Drosophila melanogaster: one gene and its partner. The protein of the gene in region 1 interacts with the protein of each later gene in a pairwise test. Each region holds a gene or a part of one and is shown on either strand. Other genes may lie near its edges.

Region 1 (3,755 bases):
CCGCCGACGAGTCTACCGTATCTTCAAGCAGTATTAGGACTTCTTGTCGCTTCGGCATACGATGCTACAGGTGATTCACACTAACCAACTCCCATATTACCAACTAAAAATATACCTTTTTCCAATGACAGGCGAAATCCAGCTCATCGTAGTGCAGAAGCTCATCCGGGGGATCAGGATTACCGGCGACCAAACTTTCCAGCGCCACCCCTCGGAACTCCAGCTTGTCCTTTCGGTAACGCATGCTATCGCCGTAACCCAGTTCACTTCCAGGATTACTCCCATCCTGCGGATTGTAAGTAGAAGGCTTGGCATACTTCGGCTTCAAATTGGCTAAAGCCCATTGTAGTCAATTCCGCGCAGAACATTCGAAATCGTCTGCGTCAACGGCGAGCCCAACGGCAGAACGACGATGACTCGGGGACGGATGAGGAGGATGAACCCTTTGGTGGCGACAATGACAGGGATGCGGACTACCGTCCAGGCGCAGACATAAACGAAGATGAGGATGATGAGCTGGAGTTTGATAGCCAACCAATAAGTGGGGATGACTATGATTAGACTATAAATTCAAATTCGCTGTTAACTTAGATGATACGTTCCATTTGCCGAATAATAGGCTTTATATATATATATTATATTCTGTTGATGAAAACTTATGTCTATGGAGTTCCATTAGTAGAAGCCCTCGTCAACTTCATCGGCTGGCTTTTGATCAAAAGTGGCGCCCCATTTTGCAGCCTCTCCGCCGCGAACTTTTACATTGTAGCAAACATTCTCGGCCTTAAGAACGCTCTGCTTCATGGTAGTGATCTTACGCCATAGTTCACGGGCTCTCTGACAGTTTAGACTGATGTAACTGAAAACAATAGGAAGTTAATTGAGTTTCTTAAGGGAGAACTAACCAACCCGCTGTAGAAATGCTGCAGGGCCTTGCAGGTGTCCAAACAGGTGTCTGTATCTCCACTGCCTAGCGAATTTATGCAGCGGCGCATCAGTTCACCAGTAAGATCCGAAAGTCCAAGTATATATTCCGTGGGGTCTACGAAAAACTGGAACTTCTTTGGGCTCTCAACCTGAGCTATAGCCTGAACATCTTCGCCTTCAGTTGGTTCTTCCTTTGGCTGGCTGCTCTCCTCGACGTACTGCATCACCGCCTGAATGGCCTGCCAATCTGAAACGCTCTTGGTTTCGTTCTCGCCCTCAGCATCCTCGTGGCACAGGTACTCCATGTAGGTGTAGGCCTCGATAAACTCCTGCAATCCTGGAGAGTAGGAGCTGCGGAACTGGTAGACATCCTGGTCGCGCAGTTCCAGGGCCACAGCCCTAAAGTTAACCGCGATCAGCTTGTTCAGTCGCTGACGTGCCTCCTCCAGGACCTTCTCCTTATTCTGCTTACGCGAGTCAATGGAGTGCAGCAGGAAGATGATACGCTTGGACTCGATGGTAATGTCACGGCTCAGCTTGACAATTCGCTCGTGGCGATCGTGTTTCATGATCAATTCATTAGAATAAATTCGAAATTGTTGGACAATGGGACTGTCTTCATCCAGCTGGGCAGCCGGTATTTGGCGCTTCCTGGGAGCAGTGTTCCTGTGACCAGCACCTCCGTTTTTCGGCATTATTGATATCTTACGCGATTCTATTTGAACGGCTTAAATATGTTTTTTTTTTTGTTTTTATTTTTTTAGATTTTCAATCGCGTCGGCAAAAAATTTATTGTAAACAAATGTCCGATAATTGAGGTATTAACCATATCGATAGTTGCCGACAAATATCGCCACCTGATATCGGTGCTAAGACCCGAGAAACTTTCGTGGCAAGAATTTGTTAAAAATATACAAATAATTAAATTCCAGCCCTAAGGCAATGCATGATCCGGTCAAAAAGTCGGCTCACTTGACCGCTGGCTCCACCAGCACAGCGGAGAAGCTGTGCTTCGACAAGAATGAGTTTATGAAGGTCAGTAATCCATGTCAGATATGTGTTCCCTTGCTAAAATTACTTCGAACAGGCAAACTTCTCGGTGGATGAGTTTCTGCACAAGAACCGCAATGCGCCCAGTCTGGAGCAGCTACGCGACAACCTGGGCCTTTACCTCAAAGGTCTGCGGGCGGCCATGATAGATTTGATCAACGAGGATTACGCAGACTTCGTAAACTTGAGCGCAAACCTGGTGGGACTGGACCAGAATATAAAGACCATTCAACAGCCATTGGAGCAATTCCGCAGCGACATCGAGAGCATTCACGGCTTGATAGATGAGAACGTGACCGAGCTGCGGGCCCAGTTGGAGGAAAAGCGTCAGCTTCGCGAGTTCAAACGCGGTCTGCAGAGCCTCAAGAAAGTGTATGAGACCATTAACAAGCTTCAGGATCTAATCGACCGAAAGCTCAGCGGGGAACAACCAATTAAGGCCGTTGACCTGGAGCGCGCTGCTCTGGACCTGATTCAATTGAAGTTCCATGAGAAACACTGTTTCAAGCACTTAAGTCCCGACCATCAAGGGAAGATCCAACAGCTAGAAGAGCAATTGCATCAGCATCTGCGACGCTTCTTCAATGACGCCCTTAGCCAGGCACGCAACTCGGCACCGGAATCCTTAGAGCGCTGCTTGCGGATCTACATAACTCTAAATGCCTGTGATCAGGCAGAGTGCGCCTTCCGCGAGGATGTGGTGGCACCGTATATGACGGGCGTCATTGGCGAACAACAGTTGCAAAACTCGCCGCAGGGATTAGCTGGCATCTACAGCAAGATCCTCAACTTTATATCGCTGCATATGACCGATTTGCTGCGCCTTACGCTTTACTCTGATAAGTTTCCGGGCTTTAACTTCGTGGTTAATAGTTACTGGTCTGATGTGGAGACGCGTCTCGAACTGCACATGAATTCCATATTTGCGCCTGGCAATTCGGAGGTGTTCTATGTAAAATACAAGTGCACTCGCGATTTCCTGGGCAAAATAGAGGAGCTATTGACCTGCTCCGGAGAGCAGGCCGTAACGTTCTATCGCCAGCACAAGCAAACAAAAAGTTTTGAGGCTCGCTGGAATCTTCCGGTTTACTTCCAAATATGCTTTCAAGTATGTAAATAAGTTTATATAGTAGAATTTTCGATTAATGTGAAATGCTTCTAGGAAATTGCTGGTAAATTTGAAGCCCAGTTGGAGCCGGTGCTCCAGGAGGATAGTTTAAAAGATAATCTCACCGATAGTGACTACAAAATATCCGCATTTAATGCCGCGAAGGAGGCTATGACACGGTGCTGGGCCGAGGGAGTTTACCTACCCGAAGTATTTCCGAAATTTTACAAACTTAATGTGCAGGTGGTACTGCGTCTTTCGCGCTGGATCACGGATGCAATTACTCAATCGAAAGGCAGCAACTTTTCTAAGCCCTACACTCGAAACCAGTTGCTTATTGCCCTCCATGCTGACATTCGCAAACTTGACGCGCATCTGCCAGAGCTTCAGCAATTGATTATTAAATCAGTGCCCGTTGAACAGTGTACGAAGATCTTTAGCGACGTTTTGGCCAAATCGATGTCCTGCCTAGCCGACACGCTAGGTGCGCATTTGACCAACATACAAAAGACCTTAGTGGAGTTGCTGATCGGAGAATGCGAGACGGAAAATGTGCGACAGGTAAACGACTTGCCGCGGCTGTATCGCAAGACGAATCGAGAGGTTCCCACACGATGTTCGAGCTATGTGGAGCAAATGCTGCGACCGCTGAAGGCATTTGCCCAGCAGA
Region 2 (3,583 bases), on another chromosome or scaffold:
CAGGATCGTGCAGACAACGGACATGCCCAGCCGCAAGTGAGCGTTAATGCGGGTACCCGACATGGGGAAGATCAGATACGAGATGAGCGCCTGCATCCAAAAGTACAAGGTGCCGCAGCCGAAGCAGCAGAAGGCTCCGATGAAGTGGACAATCCGCACGTTCGTCTCCTGAAAGTTGCCCACGAAGCTAATGCCCAGGCAGGACACCAGTCCGAACCACAAGGCTAGTCGGTTCTGGCGCAGCACCGACCCGTCCAAATCCGGATGGTGTTCATAAAGCTGCAGCACCTGACGGTAGCGTACGTAGATGGTAATTCCAACTGCAAAGCATGAGACACTTAGAAAGTATAATCACACCGCTGCAAGAGCGTCTAATCAACAGATGACTCATCGTCTCTGGAGACGAGACGGGATGCCGGGAGAGGAACTCACGCAGAACGCTGCCTATGTTGATAAGCTGCCCGAACACACAGCTTTCCGGCGAGTAGGTGGCCGCATCGCTGATGTAGGGAACCGTGGGCACCACATGCCCCTCCAGCACGGCGAAGATGTACCTGGAGACCAATGAGACGTCAGTCGGGTCAGAAAGCCCGGTAATCGGGGAAGCACCCCCTGCGTACTTACGTGCCAAGAAAGGTGACCTGGAATATCAGGAACGTGAGCACCGGCAGCAAGTAAACCTGTGACATCGCGCTAGGGAATGGTGTATCCGGGTGGTGGTAAGTTGCAGCACTGGCCACAACTAACGTATCTTATTTAATTGCGCTGCAATAACACGAACAAGGGAGCGAAATGTTTGGGTCTGTGGCAGTGCTGCTCAATCGGCTAAATTATAGCCGCTTAGCCGAAGTTTAGTATTTTTGTTTGGCGGATTTTTGGATTGCTCCATGGCGCAAAAATTTGATTTTACCTTTTTTGGGGTAACCTTTGAATCTACGACACTAGGCGAACAGAAAAAAGAATAGGGCGTGCATCGATCAGCTGATTACTTCTCAAGCTCAAAGTACTACGAAATTTACAGTTATTTCAGGCCTGTCGTGATTGGCTCTAGTGTGTATGTGCTTAGTTGCAAATTAACGGTTAACTTCCCCTCTTGATTTTCTATTGGTCGAATATTGACTGGAAATGCATAGACAGCAGCCATCATGAATTATATCAGATGTTTTGGTTTTAATCTGTGCTGCCAACTGACAACTGCTATGATTTCTGTTTGCCTGGTGTCGGAAACCAAAAACGATACAAGAAAATAAAGATCTCGTCCGCGGGCTGAAACAAGACTTAGTACAAAATAGCAACTTTCTCTGGGTTCAGACACTAGTCGAACATAATTTTCAGGAGGTGACCAAGGACCATTTGGTTTCATGGATTTTGTCACATTTTACTGTAGCTTTCTCAAAGTTAATTTACGGTTGCCTTCCACATAGCTATTTCCCATTGGTCGAAAAATTACTGGAAAACAAAACAGTTATTTTCATGTTCTTGCGGAAACCAGCTGGCACCTGCTATGATTTCTGATCCCCTGGTGTCGAAACCAGGGAAACTTTGCATTTTATTGCGTCGAAAATGGTGCATTACAGTGGTCCAAATACCTCGTTTACCTCGTAATAAAACTTTAATCATTTAAATTTTTTGCAACAAATCATGATAACCCTTTCACAAAATTGGAAATCAAGTGATGGAAATTGTTTTTATATGTGATTAGCTTTGCGAAACATTACTTTTTCTAATTGTGTAATTCTTAGCCAATAAATGAATATTTACTTATCAAAATATAAGTATTTTTAAAGTTTTCTGATTTTAAACGAAAATATCGTTTGAATGCCCCCAACGCAAGCGAACGTATGCCTCGGTATATTTTAGTATATTTATGTAGTTTTCAAAAGCGTTCGCAACGTGCTGCTGCTTCTCCTCGTCGGTGCCTGATATCACTCGCTTCTGCTAATTTCTAGTAATGGTGGCCACCGGTGGACAGGCTCAGGATCAGGGCCAGAACCAGGAGCCGGATGTGCTAAACCCCACGTCGGCGGTGACGGGGTTGCCACAAAAGCGCTACTACCGCCAGCGTGCGCACTCGAATCCCATTGCGGACCACAGCTTCGACTAGTGAGTAGACCACGAAATGGACTGCACACACTAAAGGCTCCTTCACATAGTCCTGCTCGCCCGGAAGATGTGGACTGGCGCTCCATGTACCCAGGCATTCAGCAGGGCCAGCAGGTAAGTTTTGCGGACATAGGCTGCGGCTATGGCGGCTTTCTCGTCACCCTGGGGGAGATGTTCCCCGAGAAGCTGTCCATCGGCATGGAAATCCGCGTCAAGGTGTCGGACTACGTGGTGGACCGGATTGCGGCACTGCGTCGACGATGCGCGGATACGGGTGCATACCAGAACATTGCCTGCTTACGCACCAACGCCATGAAGTATCTGCCCAACTACTTCGTAAAGGGCCAGCTGGAGAAGATGTTCTTCCTCTACCCGGACCCACATTTCAAGCGCGCCAAGCACAAGTGGCGTATTATCAACCAGGCTCTACTCTCCGAATATGCCTATATCCTCAGGAAGGGGGTAAGTCCAACAGTTTCCTGAAAGTACTCGAAATGCGGTCTGCTTACTGCTTAGTCTGCTTACCCAGGGTCTGTTGTACACCATGACGGACGTTGAGGACTTGCACAAGTGGATAGTGACACATATGGAGGAGCATCCGCTGTACGAGCGTCTTACCGAAGAGGAGGCCGTACGTAGTTCAAAACCGAGATCACGCAGCCAAGTCACACATTAATCATTACGTTTAAACCCACAGAATGCTGATCCCATCACCCCGAAGCTGTACCAAAGCAGCGAGGAGGGCGCTAAGGTGGTTCGAAACAAGGGCGATCATTTTCTGGCCATTTTCCGGCGCCTTTAGGACACGTATATTCTCTATATATGTAGACATTAATTTAAGGTTTCCTTAGAGTAAAGAGATCTATCGATTGTTAAATCAACTTGTTCACATGTCCCAAGCCCTTGCAGCTGACTAGCATCTGGCCGCCGGGCTCCATCGCCACATCGAACTTGACCCCTGTCATTTGCTCGGCTACATTGATGGCGGTGCGCGTGTGATTGGTCAGCTTGCCTGTGCGCATCGTTGAGCGGCCCACGGCCAGGGCCATGTAGATGATGAGCTGGTCCTGCATGTAATCATCAACGCAGACCTGTTTGCGCATGTAGTCGCCCAGTTGGCACGACGCCTCTGAGCCGAGAACGTGTCCGTCGATCCTCTTTTTGCCCAATGCAGAAGCACCTAGGACAACGTCGGAGGTCGTGTTGACAGTCATCAGGATGCCGGCTCCGTTGTGGAATGCCTTCTGGCGTGAATGCTTAATCGGCTCGATGCTGCACTGCTGGGACGGCCACAAACGATGTATCTCGCGTTGAGCCGTCTGTTGCATGTCAATAGCAATATTTACCGGCAAGCGGCCGGCGCAGTAGGCCACTCCGCTGACCGATTTGATGCGGCCGAAAGCCACTAATTTTCCGGAATTCAGCTTGGTCACGGGTTGCACGTCCAACTGGCATCTGCCTTGGCCGCGTGGATAGAAGC

The links. The genes of interacting proteins can lie anywhere in the genome.
Region 2: the proteins of Trax (region 1) and CG4045 interact in a two-hybrid assay, tested with the Drosophila melanogaster proteins (one large-scale study listed by BioGRID).

The regions. Positions count from the first base shown.
Region 1 is NT_033777.3:15,359,692-15,363,446, reverse strand, and holds Trax (translin associated factor X), read right to left. Parts: upstream 1,756-3,755; 5' UTR 1,623-1,755; coding exon 910-1,622; intron 860-909; coding exon 676-859; 3' UTR 597-675; downstream 1-596. Other genes in the region: CG6171 (uncharacterized protein), read left to right, coding at 1-70, 132-295, 350-561; Cog2 (component of oligomeric golgi complex 2), read left to right, coding at 1,870-1,962, 2,015-3,085, 3,140-3,755.
Region 2 is NC_004354.4:2,074,189-2,077,771, reverse strand, and holds CG4045 (uncharacterized protein), read left to right. Parts: upstream 1-1,871; 5' UTR 1,872-1,951; coding exon 1,952-2,103; intron 2,104-2,153; coding exon 2,154-2,565; intron 2,566-2,632; coding exon 2,633-2,734; intron 2,735-2,800; coding exon 2,801-2,905; 3' UTR 2,906-2,975; downstream 2,976-3,583. Other genes in the region: CG4025 (uncharacterized protein), read right to left, coding at 1-320, 433-554, 625-689; Rtca (RNA 3'-terminal phosphate cyclase), read right to left, coding at 2,976-3,583.